2 linked regions of the Caenorhabditis elegans genome follow. The protein of the gene in region 1 interacts with the protein of each later gene in a pairwise test. Each region holds a gene or a part of one and is shown on either strand. Other genes may lie near its edges.

Region 1 (7,335 bases):
CGTTATTAAACGCGCGGGTCTTGCCACGATCGAAACTTTAGCAGCTACCGTACTCGCGCGTACGGTGGTTTTTAAATTTCATCGATTCACAACACTTTAGCAACGAAATGCCTGCGTCTTCTCTAGGCCACTTTTTTGCAATGTTTCCGCCGCCCGGTTAGCTCAGTCGGTAGAGCACCAGACTCTTAATCTGGTTGTCGCGGGTTCGAGCCCCGCATTGGGCTTATGTTTTTTATTTTTTTTAAATAAACACAACTCAACGTTTTATTCGTCCACCACCACTCCTTTACTCTAAACCCCAGCTGTCAGTTTCTACTGGAAGAGGGGTAACATGTACTTAGACTCCAACTACAAAACGTCCTGCGTCTCTCTTCTCTTTTGGTTCATTTTCTCAGCACTCTCTCATCCCAACACACCCTCTCGCACAACACGCCAGTCATTTAGAAACACGCTTTACATCAACTTCATGTACTTTTCACTTTACATCGAATTTTATGTTCTGAAAATTGATTAATTTAAACTTAAAAATTACCAGGATGGAAGCAGAGCCGTTGGAAACGGAGCAAGATGAATGGCGAAAAGAAAGAATGCGAGTTTTGGACGAGTGGTGTGAGGTACGTATTTTTAAAATTATTTTTCAAAAGTGTTTCACGTTTTTAATAGATTTTCTAAAGTTTAATTTTAATTTTTAAATTTTAAATACGAAAAATCATAGAAATTTTAATGTTTCGCTTAAAAATCGATATCAGCGAAAGCTTTTGAATATTTTTTGAGTTTTTGCGAAACAAATTTTTCCCAAAAAAATTCTAGAATTTTGTAAATAAACCAAGAAACAAATAAATCAATTTATCCTACTGTAACCTTAAAGGCGCATGCACTGAAAATGTGGATGGGTCTAACAGCGAAAAATTAATTTTTGACGAATATTGTGTATGCGCCTTTAAATTTACAGTAGGAAAATTAGAGATTAAATTTTTTGAAAGTTTAATTTCAAAAAACTAAAAAAAACTTTTAAACACTCGAATTTTCGTACTGTAAACTTAAAGGCGCATACACAGAAAATGTGGATGGGTATCACAGTGGAAAATGTATTTTATACAAACATTGTGTATGCGCCTTTAAATTTACTGTAGGAAAATTAGAAAATAAATTTTTAGAAGCCTGATGGCAGAAAAAAAGAAAAAAACTAGAATTTCCTTGAAATCTGGAGATTTTTTTGTGAAATTTAAATTTTCCAGATCGAGCTAAAAGGCGCAGACGCTCTCAAAATGGATGTAACCCGTGAGCCAGGCTCCCCCACAGTTGCCGTCGCCCCAGAAACTTCTCTTCAAGACCTCTACCCCCTTCTAATTGCCACGTCATCGTCCAACGCACCACCAAGTGCCACGCCCACCGATGACGTCACAGATCCAGAAGTACAAGTAGTTTCCCGGGAATCAATCGATAATCGATCAACATTCAATCGGATAATTGACGTTTGTCTGTGCAGGCCTGTAAAATCACAAATGGGCCCGAAAGCCTATACGGATAAAACGCTAATTTTAAAACTCGCTCAAATACCCTATGATCATGAAAACGGAACACACTGGCTTCTCCTCTCGGACTACTTTAACAATGTTTCAAGATCCCTGATGACGTCATCAGAATACTCTCACGTCACTAATCCGTCACGTGTTGGCGCGCATTGGGTTACTGTAGGCTTTCAGTCGGCGACACCGCACACGGATTTTCGAGGTTGCGGAGTTCTTGGCCTACTTCAAATGCACACTTTTACGCAGAGAGTACCGGCGAATTTACTTCGAGCAATTGTACTTCTTGCCACTACTGAACCGAATGTTAGTTTTTTATTGGGATTTTTGAAAAAAGTTGTAATAGAGCGCGCTTGCAATTTTGACAGTTTCAATTCGGAAAATTTGCAATTTTTATCAAAAATACGGTGTCCGGTCTCGAAACGACGAATTTGTGTTAAATGAGAAATGGTGTGCGCCTTTAAATAGTACTATAGTTTCAAACTTTTGTTTCAGCAGAATTTTCGCGAATTTTATGTGTTTTTATTGTTACATTTGAGTTTTTTCAATAAAGAATTTTTTATTATCGAAAAACTATTTAAAAAAACGATTAAAATTTTGCAGTAACGAAAGTTTGAAACTACAGTACTTTTTAAAGGCGGACACCCTTTCGTATTTAACAAAAAATTGTCGTGTCGAGACCAGATACCGTATTTTTGGCAAAAAAATGTTTCAATGCAATCGCGCTCCGTGCACTTTTTTAAAAAACCAATAGAAAATTTTCCAGGATTTCCCACTTGCCGTTGTTTCAATCAATATTACGAGTATTTTATTAACACAACTGAAGAAAGGAGCTCTTGATAAGTAAGTCTGCGCAAAGGGCGCTTGCTGACGCGTTTCTCGTGCCACTTGGTTTTTTTTGAAAAGAAAAAAAAACAGCACACAAGAAACATGGCATTTTCCTAAAAGTTTGAAAAAAAATTGTTTAAAAGATATTATACCAAAAATTCACAGAACTGGCAAAAACTTATTTTAATTTTTGTTTTCAGAAATTTTGAAAAAAAAACGTTTCTCCTAGAATTTTGGCAGAAAATTTTTTTTTTTCAACTAAAATTCGCATTTTTTCAAATTATTTTCCAAAAAAACACCAAAAAATTCAAATCTCGCGCCACTTGGCACATTTCTCAATAGAGCACATTTACAGCTTTGGCAACGAAATCGAAGGACTCTATCCATTCTTTTCTGCTCTCCATGCATCTGCAATGTGCCGATTTTGCTCAATTTATAAGTCACAAAAGTGTACACTTGCCAACACTCAAACTATTTTCAGTGGTTAGTAAACTTTTTTTTTTCGAAAATTGGGCAATTTTCTATGGCCAAAATCCCGGCAAATCGGCAAATTGCCGGTTTGCCGATTTGCCGGAAATTACAATCCTGAAAATGTTCAATTTTTTGCAGAAATAACCCGCCAACTCGAAAAATCTCCATTATCCCTGATAATGCTTCTAAATCCGACGAATGACGAGCTCATCAATACCCTCCTGTGATGATTGAAACTTCCCGAGAAACGAATCTGTGAAAAAATCCTTAAAGATTATAGCTTTAAATTACAATAAAAATCAACCGTTTTCGAGTTTATTTATGCACATGGTATTGGGGGAAGTGGAATACAACAATAAATAGATGGTGTGAAAAAAAGCATGAATGATAATAATTATTTGAGGCGAAAAAGAAAGCGTGTGTAAGCGAACTGAATCTTGAAAAACTCGAGAATTTTGTGTGAGTTTGCGAGCCAGTTTAAGCCTCATCCTTGTCCTTGGTTCCGTGTTTGAGCATACGAGTGAACTCCACGTAGTCGAATTGTCCGCCCTGAGAAAAAAAAAATTGAAAATTGGCTTATTTTTCAGGAAAAAATAAATATTTTAGGGTTTTAGGATTTAAAAAAAACTATTTTGCATTGGAAAATTTGGTAAAAATATGTGTTTTTTTTATAGAAAATTGTGTCGATTTACGCAGATCGTGTACTCCCCGTGGAGAAGTTTGCACTTTTTTCTGTTGAAAAAACAAGTAATTTCAACATCGATTTTTTTCCTTCAAAATCTACAATAAAAAGCGAAAATTATCGCAATTTTTTGCAAAATAAAGAAGCAAAAACTTCTTCACTAGGAGTACACGACCGGCGTAAATCGACACCAAATTTTCCGGCTGATAAATCGAAAATCTCTGAATTTTCCACGATTTTAAGAGGTCCAAAATCAAGCTTTTCGAGCCAGAAACTCCTGTTTCCCTTCTTTTTTTCGTTCCGAAGTTACAGCGATTATACCTTAATCGGAGCATCTCTAAAGAGCTCATCAACCTGTTCCTCGGAATATCTCTCGCCCATCGTGGTGAGCAACTCGCGAAGATGCTCCTCATTGAGTTTTCCCGAATTATCCTCATCGAAGCATTGGAACGCATTCCGTATGACTTCCTCCGGATCCGTTCCAGTCAATTTTTCACCGAAAAGTGTCAGGAACATTGTGAAATTGATCGGCTGTGCTCCGGGAGCCTCGTTAATCATCGAATCGATGAATTGTTCGGTGACTTCTTTTCCAAGGGAAGCGAACATATCCTTCAGATCCTCTTGATCGATGAATCCATCGCGGTTTTGGTCGATCATGTTGAATGCCTCCTGAAATTGAATTTATTTTAATTGTTCTTTAAAAATTCCGCTGAAACCAATGGATTTTTCGTCTTTTTAAATTTTTATTTTTTCGAAAAAAAAAACGAAAAATGAGGCTGTCACCTACTTTGAACTCTTGAATTTGAGCCTGATCGAACATGGCGAACACATTGGAAGTGGCTCTTTGTGGCCGTTGACGGCGGTTTACGGTTTTGCGGGAGGCCATGGCTTACTGCAAAAATTTGAAAATTTGCGATTTTTGAGGAAAAAATAAGGTCTCGACACGACAAATTTATGTTAAATACTAAAAGGTGAGCGCCTTTAAAGAGTACTGTAGTTTTACTAATTGGATTTTTTTTCTCGAAAAATCAATGAAAATTCGGGAATACAGTACTTTGAATTTAATGAAAATTTGTCGTGTCGAGACCTTTTTTTGATGCAAAAAACGTCTAGACTCCTCGAGGAAAAGAGGAAAAAAGTTTCCGTTGTTTTTTTGTGAGAATTTCAATTTTTGGCCGAAATTTTGATAATTTTTGCAAACTAATATTGTTTTTAGCATTGAAATCGCTAATTTATCGTTTATTAGCAGTATTTTTGAAACGAAAATTGATATTCTCTCAAAAAACGATGAAATATGAAGATGGTAGAAACCAAAAAAATGTGAAAAAAAACTGAAAAGATGCGGGGCGTGGAAAATATTATTTGATAACGAAAAAGCGGTGAGTCACCGCCGCAAAAAATGTTTTGTTTCAGTTTTTTTGTTTCCTATTACGATTGGAAGCGAGGTTTTCGAAGGAAATATTGATTCTCAGCGTTTGTCGCCTTGGAAAGGGGATTTGAACCGAAATATGACACATTTTTGAGGGAAATGACCGAGAAACGGAGAAAAGATTAGAATCTAATAGGCGGAGGGCATATTTAGGATGTCAAATGAGGAAAAACGGAGCGTAAATTATTTAAAATTTGCACTTTTTCGTTTTTCGGCAAAAAAAACAAGGAAAATCAGTTTAAAAGTTCCGGAATTTTTTTGCAAAACTTGGAAAAATCATCAATTATTTTCAATTAATGTTAATGTCAGGGGTGGGCGGCAAATTGGCGGAATTGAAATTTCCGGCAAATCAGCAAATTGCCTATATGGAAATTTCCCGCAAATCGGCAAATTGGCGGAATTGAAATTTCCGGCAAATCAGCAAATTGCCGGAGTTCAAAATTTCCGGAAAATCGGCAAATTGCCGGTATTAAAATTTCTGGCAAATCGGCGAACTGCCGGAAAAACGACAGGTGCCGAAAATTTTCGGCAAAATGTGGTTTTGCACCTTTTTTTGGAAATTTCAGAATTTCAATTTAAATCGGCAAAATTGTACGCACCCTATGAATGTTCCTACGTCTATTTTGAAAAATAAGCAACTTCTATGAAAATTTCTTTAAAAAGCGGGATATAAATTCCAAAAAGGCAGTTTTAAGTGGTTCCGTCTTATAAAAAGTGCCTCTACACATTTCCGGCAAATCGGCAAACCGGCAATTTGGCGATTTGCCGAACAGCACTTGCCGCCCACCCAATTCCCGGTATAAAAATGTAGATTGTTTAATATTTTCCCCCGGCCAAAATTCACATTAAATGCGACGAAATGCAATTTTTTTTTCCTCAAAACTGTAGCAGAAAATGGAGAATTCTCTCCGGAAAGCAGAAAAAACGTTATGAAGTGATTCACATGACTGGCAAACATAACATAAACGGAAAAGAGCGGAAAAACAATCGATATTCTTCGGAACGACGGGAGAAGCAGTGAAGAGAGTGAAGAGACGGAGAGAAGACAGTTCCCATTCGTTGTGTATTTATACGGAGACAGTTCCTTTCGAATGTGTGTGAAAGGACATTGGAATGAGGAGGTATATATGATGACTTGCCGATAAACAAGATATTCCGACGGAATACGGAATACGATTTAATTTCTGGGAGGTTTTGGGAACGGAATTTGGGGTCTAAACACTATGAAATACCGAAAAAATGGTTTTTTAAATTTGAAAGTACGCCAGTTTTTGCCCTAAATGACAGAAAAAATCCTCACTATACAGGACATTACTGCTGAAAAATTAATAAAGATTTCCTGAATTTTGTTTGATTTTTTAATTTTTCCAACAAAAAACCGAATAATTTTTGAATTCCCGCGCAAATAAATGTTTTCTAGATCGGTTTTTCTAGATTTTTCATTATTATTTGATTTAAAACATGATTTTTCGAATTTTAAAGAGTTTTTCCGTTTAAAAAACGCTATGACCTCGAAATAAATACACTGAAGCTTCAAAAATTCCGAAAAATGCCAGAAAACAAGTTTTCTAGACGAAAAAACTTCTGAAAAACTGAAAATTAATGAAAAATCGAGAAAAACCAACGATTTTAGCCAGAAACACGAAATTCGAAAATTCAAAAGTATAAAAATATTCCTTAAAATCGATAATCTCCTAGTTTAATCAATAATCTTCAAAAAATTCTAAACATAAATTTCGCAATGCTGCTTTTTCAAATGACTCATGACTCATCGCGCCAGCTGCGCAGCTCTATTCCATGTTTTTACAACAAAAAATCGATTTTTCTGGCAATTTTCAGTTTTATTATATAATTTTAAGCCCAATAGTCAATAATTTCAAAGAAAACGCACTTTAAAATCATTTTAAACAAGAAAAAATCGATTTAAAATGAGAAAATATGGCTGAAAAACGTTTGAACACAATTCCAAAGCGCGCCAAGTTAAAGGCGCATGCCATTTTGCGGCGAAGATATCTTGCCACGAAAGGCTCTATTTGAATTATTTTCGTCGGCTTTTCGCATATTCTCTCGCTTTTTCTTCGGTTCTGCACGCTTCCACTGATTTTTTCGAGGTTTTTCATTGAAATTATTGATTTTTGACAACTAAATTAGCCTAAAATCAATTAGAAACGCTTTATAACCTGATAATCTTGATTTTTAGCTCGATAAAAACTTGCATCATTTTTGGAAAATGTAATTTTCTATTTTTTTCTTCTTTCAGGTAAAATGAACACTGCTTCCCTTGTTCGCTCCCTGTCCCGAGTGGCTCTCCGTTCATCCCAGGTCGTCAGAATGGCCGCTCCACGCCATTTCTCACAATCGGCCAAGGTTCTGTCAGTAACGCCAGAACTTCAACA
Region 2 (7,405 bases), on another chromosome or scaffold:
TTTATGTTTTAAACTGGACTTTTCTTGAGAATGTATAGAATCACACGAGAAAAAATAAAATTGTTGTGTAAAAGAAACCAAGATGATTCATATTCCTACCCCTTTCTGGAACAAAGAAAAAACAAAAAAACTTTTGCATATTCTTCAACTGTTTATTTTTTTCTATTTTGAGAAGTATTGCATAAAATGGTAGTCACTTTTCACAAAGATGTAATATTCAACGATGAGCTAGAAGAAAATGAAAAATTTAGCTGGGATGAATTTGGTAAGACTTTTCAGACTTTCGTATTTCAAGTAACAATTTATTCCAATTTTTAATCAAGTTTCAGTACATAAATTAAAACAGCAGCAACTAGAAGGACAAGTTCCAGTTGTTTCAAAGCGCTATGCAATTTCTATCACTGTATTTTTTGCACTACTATTTCTTGGAATATCTCAACTATTGGCTTCTGCCAACGAAAAAGGTATAAATATTCATTAAAAAACGGATTGAACAATTTAACTTTTCTTCAGTAATTCTCATTCGGCATAGATATGACAACGTAGCTGAAGGCTACATTGACATTAACATCACTAGATTTATACCAGTGAGTCTTTTATATGTATTAAAAATTTCTTTTTTTTAATATTTCGGATTTAGAAAGCTCAGAGCAAAACGGGTGATTTTTTTGCTTTCTCTCTGAATTTTCGAATAAAGTTTTGTTGGATACCATAGTTAGAGGCCAAAAATTTATTCTGTGAATGCATTTGAAAACGGTTTGTTTTTTAGAATACTTAAAACTAATCGACAAACAAGCACAGGCCAGTTAATACTATTTTTTAAAACTACAAAAAGAGTTAACTACAAATTCGTGTAATCAAAATTTTCCAAGTATCATAATATTAAAAAATGAACTCAACATTTAATGTGTTGCTTTCAGAGTCCTGTATACTTTTACTACGAGCTGCATGACACATTTATGATGCACAGATCCCTGAACCAAGCATATTGCAAAAAGCAGTTAATAACAGGAGAGTCGAATGAATGTGATTCCTTCAAAAATCAAAATTACTCTTGTGAAAATGCAGTGTCCCGTTCTTTCATTCCAAAAATGGCAATGTTTTGTGTTGACAACCAAAAGTATTATGCTCCTGTTGGTGGAGCTGCTAGTATTATGTTCAATGGCATGTTTTCAATTCAAACACTAAACATATTTTTCTTCTTTAGACTCTTTCAGTTTAACATTCAACGGCTCTCCAATTGCTTGGACCGAAGAAGGGGTGATCGCTGATAAACTACGCCACATGTTTTTCGAACCTAACGAGACAAACTTATGCGACGCTGAACAGGTGACACATTCAAAATTGTTCAACAATGAAATTTCAGTATCAAATTTATTAGTAAGGTTTCAGTTTCGAGAAACTTTGAAACCGATTGGATGGAAACATGAACTTTGTGAAATGGGCGGGTATCGCAATATTTCTCTTATCAAATGGTTAGAATCAGCGACCAACAAAAATTTCAAGAAATTCTACAGAATACTTAATACCACAAAACATAATGGGCTATATCAAGGTGTTCACAGATTGTATTTTGATAATGAATGTAAGTTGCAAGTTTAGGTGTTGTAAAAAGGTCTCCCAAACGGAGAAGTCAGCAAAGAGTAAAACAATGAAAAAACGTAATGGTTGGAAGAAAAACCAAAAACCCGTAAACATTGAAAATTTGAAAGACGTTCGAAAATAGCTTTTCGTAGGATTTAAAATCCAGTTTTTTGTATTTTGCTTGTAATTTGTTTTACCACTCCTATATGATAGCAATTCTAACAAGTTAATAATGAGGAACACTCTTTAAAAAAAGTAATTAAACAACCATAAAAACGTTAGAGAACACTATATATATGAAGAATTATTAATTATGGCGGAAATTCGAAAATTTATACTTTTCTGCTACTTTGAATATCGGAGCATAATTGCATGCTCTCCTAATACATTTATTTTCATATACGACAGAGAATCATAAAGTTGTCGAGTGATTCAACTCTAAACAAACTAAAGTAATTATTCCAGATAAACCTGGATCATTGATTAAAAGCACATACCCGATGAAGAAATTTTTCTGGATTTTGCATCCATCTTGGGTTGGGACGGATCAGAAGTTTTTGGAGGTGATGTACTTAATAGTTGGAACGGGTTTACTTGCATTATCTTGTGGTCTAATTGGATTTCAAATATTTATCATGAGTCGGAGGAAAACTTATGAAGACGATGATGACTATTAATTGTGTTAACTGAAAAGCTATTTAAATTTTTTATAACTTTTAATTCTTGTGATGAGATTATTTTCTAAACAATAAATCGCAAAAATATGATCACTGCGTCTCGCCATTTTTTTCAACCATTACATCAGAACATATGTCTTCGTCTTCGTCTCACGCTACACACGAAAAGTGCCTCTCGCAACCCACGGTCTCTCCGTCTTGCCGACTTACTCTCTCCAGCTGCCACTCTTTCCTTACCACTATTTCACTTGCGTCCACATCTAATGCCATTGCCGCCCGGTTAGCTCAGTCGGTAGAGCACCAGACTCTTAATCTGGTTGTCGCGGGTTCGAGCCCCGCATTGGGCTTACGTTTTTGCATCTTTGATATATTTTTTGAAAATATGTTCTACTTCCCAAGTTAAGAAATAACAATGTTTTGCTGTGGCAGTTCATTTGTGGTGAATGAAACAAGAAACACATTGAAAGAGAAGAAGTGAAATTGGCTAATATAATTTCTAATGAAGGAATTAATATCCTGGAGCGGTTCTTGGTGGTGGGCAATGGTCGCATCCTCCGCGGGATCCTTCCTTTCCTGGGGCTCCTGGTTGTCCGTCGGAACCAGATTTTCCTGGGGCTCCGTCTGGTCCATTCTCTCCTTGGTCTCCTGGTGCTCCTGGTTGTCCGTCGCGTCCTGGACGTCCAGCGGCTCCTGGTGGTCCCTTTGGTCCTTGGGCTCCTGGTGCTCCTGGCTCTCCGGCTGGAGATGGTGCAACGTTTGATCCTCCTTGTGGTCCAAGTTGTCCTGCTGGTCCATCAGCTCCTGGGTTTCCAGATGGTCCACGTGGTCCTGGTGATCCACGAGCTCCTGGGCGTCCAGCAAGTCCGTCACGTCCTGGCTCTCCAGCTCCTCCGTTCTCTCCGTCTGGTCCTGGACGTCCTGGTGGTCCAGCTGGAGCCTCTGGGCAGTCGAAGCAGAATTGGCTTGCATCTGGCTTGTAGTCATCTCCATCAGCATCCTCTCCTGGGTTTCCTGGACGTCCGTTTGATCCATCCTTTCCAGCGGATCCATCAAATCCTGGTGGTCCTGGTGGTCCAGCTGATCCAACTCCGCAGGAGCAGCAGGTTCCCTCAGCAGCACGTGCCTTTCTTGGAGCTCGGACTACATTAAGCTTGGCAAGCTCTCCCTCAAGAGAAGTGGCACGAACTCGGCAGAAGTTGACTTCATCTTGAAGGGAAGAAGAGACCGATTGGAGGTAAAGACAAAGCATTGGCACGGCGACGATGGCAGTGAGGGTAGACACCGTGGAGACAGCGATTCCGAAGAATGCGAACCTCTTCACTTTCTCGGTTTCGAATTTCTTATCCATCGTCATCTGGAAAAAGTAAAGTGATAATTGAAAGTGAAATGAGGTGAATAGAAAGTGAAGTACCTTTGAAAACAGCAGAAAAGATGGAACTGATACATTGGATGTCACATCGCCCGCTTTTATATACAATTCACTCTGTGGGTAGCTGTTGATAGTTACCGAAACGTTACACAAAATGGTTTTGTGGATAGACAATCTGCGCCTCTTCGCTCTCATCGCCGCGCAGTCAAATTTTTTTCATATTGATACGTCCTGGTTGCGGTCATACATGGCAACGTTATCACATGAGTTAGAGAAACAAAGGATGGATTGAAAAAGTACAGAAAAAGAGCGAGAGAATGATAATGAGTGTGTGATACGCGGATGGTGCCTGGCGCCTGATTTGTGGCCGTTTCTGTTCTTTCTCTGTACTTTTTTGGTTGGCAAGGAACAAGAGAATTGGCAGAGAGTGCGGGGTTGACAGTGTACTTCCTGAAACGATTTTGGCAATGATTGTGTTTGTCGGTTTTATCTATTGGTGTTTCTTTTTTCAGATTGACATCGTAATCAAAGTTCGAAAGCGAGATTCAAGATGTGCTTTAATCCATATTGTCTGCCTGATTTCCATAAAAACGTTCCATGTGATCAATAAAACTCACTACTGTGAAATTGAGGTTACTGTGTGATAAAAATATCAGTTCAGATTATTGAATTCAAAATCACAGAGAAAAGGAGGCAGCTTATGACCATTTTTTGAAGTTTTAACAGGAAAACTGTAATACAGGATGTTCACGCACACCGTAGTTATTAATCCATCAGCAACCATGAGTTTCTTTAAACGTTAATTTCAAGGTTTCCCCGGGTTTCATGGTTATTTTCATCATATCTGTGAAAAACTAGTTCATACTTATTCTTCTTCAAGACAGTATAAGTTTGACAATGTGATCATGGAAATTTCCTATGTGGAATTCAATGAATGTTGAATCAAAGCTAGGTACTATTGAAGAAAATGCTTTCAAACAAACTACACATTTCTCAAAATAGTGCTCTAAAAATTAAATCGGTTGTTAGAACTTTGAGTTACCACTTTGAATTACCGGCAGTTCAAAAAACTAATTTGTTTTAGAACGGCAATAAGATAACATTGACGCACATTTACAGTAATCTAGTGAAGTTTGTGTATTGAATTTTCAATAGAACATTCACATAAATCACTATTAAATTTTGCTTGCTCTAAAGATTAATACTTATTTCAGGATGCTTCTTGTGACAGAAAGGTTCAAACCTCTATCTTCTTTGTTCTCATTAGATTCTATCCATCTTATTTATATCCGTCCTCCGGGCTCGTTACACCAACATTCTCTTATCCCGAAACACAACAACATTCGCACAAACTTTTGACTTTAGCTGCTCCTTTATTTTATAGAAAATCAATAAATTTTCAATGATATTTCTAATTTTCTCCATTTTATTTCTACATCTTGCCAATTGCGATTATACTGTAAGTGTAATTTGATGACTAATTCAATCCATCATTTTCTGTGTTCTAGCCAGATTGGGAGTCGCTTGACAACCGCCCTTTGCCATCTTGGTACGATGACTCAAAGTTTGGCATATTCTGTCATTGGGGACTATACTCGGTGCCTGCGTTCAGGTAAGTTTTTCGATTGTCAAGTTCAATTGGAATGTTTTTGACTGATAAGAAAATCATTTTGAAAGAAAAAAAATTGAAATTACTGGTTTGCAAACAACAGGGAACTTTCATTTTCTTATCAAATGGCAACCTGAACACTATTTTCAACTTTTTTCACTTTCGATTGGAGATTTTTGTTTCGTTTTTCTGTATAAACAGAAAGGATAAGTGAAAACATTCCAGTGGTTTTTTCCATACAAATTAAGGATGATAACGATAAAAACAAAAAATATAAAACAAGATCCGAATGGATGTGGTGGTATTGGAAAGGAACACAACCAGATAAAGACGTTGTAAATTTTGTGGATAAAAACTACAAACCCGGAACGACATACGCTGATTTTGCTAAAGATGTTTGTAACATTCTTTTGTTCGCAATTGAAAGTGATTTTTGTAGTTTACCGCAGAGTATTTCAATGCGAATCAATTTGCTGAAACTGTGAAAACTTCCGGAGCAAGGCAAGCTAGTTTTCAAAAACGTTTTTTGTGTAACTCATCTTTCGAAAGTTCAGATATTTTGTGTTTACTAGCAAGCATCATGAAGGCTTTACAATGTGGCCATCTAGAACTTCATGGAATTGGAATTCAATGGATATTGGACCAAAGAGAGATATTGTTGGAGAACTCAGAGATGCTTTCAAGAAAACGGATGTTCACTTTGGTCTCTATTTTTCACAATTTGAATGGTTTCATCCGATGTTTTTGGATGACGGGAAGTTCAACACCACATTTTATCCAGAGGTAGCCACAAATCTGTAAATATAATGTTGTCACTCTAACACCTTAAATAAAAAAAATCATATTTGACTGAAATTGAAAATCATATTTGAGCAGTTCGAAGAATGTATACTGTTCTAGCAAAAACTATTCTTCATTATTTGTTTAAAATCCAACATTTTTCAAAAATCTGATTACGATATTTAGTCATTGTATCATAAAATATTTTAAACTGTTTCCAGCCCAGGCCGTAATCCACCTTCAATTTTCTTTCCATTAGTAAACTTTAATGACGAACATGAAATTTATTCCAGCAAGTATCATATCCTCAAATGATTGACATCGTCACAAAGTATAACCCCGAAGTAGTTTGGAGTGATGGCGAATGGGACAAGTCGGATGATTATTGGAAAGCAAAAGAATTTCTTGCATGGCTCTACAATTCTAGGTTAGATTTTACAATTCATAATCTACATTTTGATTTTTCATTGGCAGTTTCTGACTCAGTTTGTAGAGTTCTGACTTTGAATATTTCGAAATTCCAAATAGGAGTTTTGCTCGAATGTCCTACACATTTTCAGTCCGGTCAAAGATCAAGTTGTCGTCAATGATAGATGGGGTACTGGTACAATGGGAAAACACGGCGGATTTATGACATACTCAGATCACTATGATCCAGGAAAGCTATTAGAGAAAAAGTGGGAAAATTGCATGACTTTGGATAAACATTCATGGGGAAATCGGAGAGACATGAAAGCATCAGAAGTGAATACAGCTTACGAGATAATCGAGCAGTTGGCAAGAACAATCGCGTGCAATGGAAACTTGCTATTGAATGTTGGACCGAATATGCATGGACAAATCCCTGCTATATTTGAGGATCGACTCGAAGAAATTGGCAGGTGAACATTTATATCGAATTTGTATTTGAAAATTAAAAAAGTTTGTTAATAATGGGTATGTCTACTACACCAAACACAGTAACGAAAATGTGTTAACCGTACACAAATATTTTAAATATTTCGAAAGCTTAGAGGTGGTAACTTTTTTACGTTAGTCTAAATTGCAGTTTAGCTTTCCGTTAGAAACGTTTTATTTTGGACAGAAATGGATTTTTAAAAATGTAACATAACAATTCTTAAATTTTATTTGTCCTGAACTTGTTGAATTTTTGCAGTTTTATGACACCTTTTGGCAATGTTATAAATTTTTGCTCGAAGTTTCAAAAATTTTCTACAAAGTTCAAACGTTTTCCATTCTAAATATCTATTTATTTTCCTTTTAAGATCGATACATTTTTTAAACATTCTAAATTCTTTGTCCACTTTCTACTATTTAAAATCTCCGTTTTTAAGATTTGTGAACATCACATCCGAGGCCATATTTGGTACAAGGCCATGGATTCAT

The links. Proteins that work in one complex are often made in the same cells at the same time.
Region 2: the proteins of mlc-4 (region 1) and col-181 interact in a two-hybrid assay, tested with the Caenorhabditis elegans proteins (one large-scale study listed by BioGRID).

Annotation. Positions count from the first base shown.
Region 1 is NC_003281.10:3,389,386-3,396,720, forward strand, and holds mlc-4 (Myosin regulatory light chain), read right to left. Parts: upstream 4,403-7,335; 5' UTR 4,397-4,402; coding exon 4,298-4,396; intron 4,180-4,297; coding exon 3,832-4,179; intron 3,378-3,831; coding exon 3,306-3,377; 3' UTR 3,129-3,305; downstream 1-3,128. Other genes in the region: elmd-1 (ELMO domain-containing protein C56G7.3), read left to right, coding at 537-614, 1,239-1,835, 2,296-2,372, 2,713-2,840, 2,967-3,055; cri-3 (Conserved regulator of innate immunity protein 3), read left to right, coding at 7,205-7,335. UniProt on the Caenorhabditis elegans protein: Regulates myosin II activity and organization during embryo elongation. May be involved in the organization of mlc-5 into bundles.
Region 2 is NC_003284.9:12,101,350-12,108,754, reverse strand, and holds col-181 (Nematode cuticle collagen N-terminal domain-containing protein), read right to left. Parts: upstream 3,826-7,405; coding exon 3,673-3,825; intron 3,616-3,672; coding exon 2,770-3,615; 3' UTR 2,653-2,769; downstream 1-2,652. Other genes in the region: W03G11.2 (uncharacterized protein), read left to right, coding at 187-265, 330-464, 514-587, 921-1,164, 1,208-1,329, 1,393-1,585, 2,050-2,261; W03G11.3 (Putative alpha-L-fucosidase), read left to right, coding at 5,033-5,089, 5,139-5,242, 5,523-5,634, 5,679-5,740, 5,794-6,022, 6,313-6,446, 6,580-6,900, 7,354-7,405.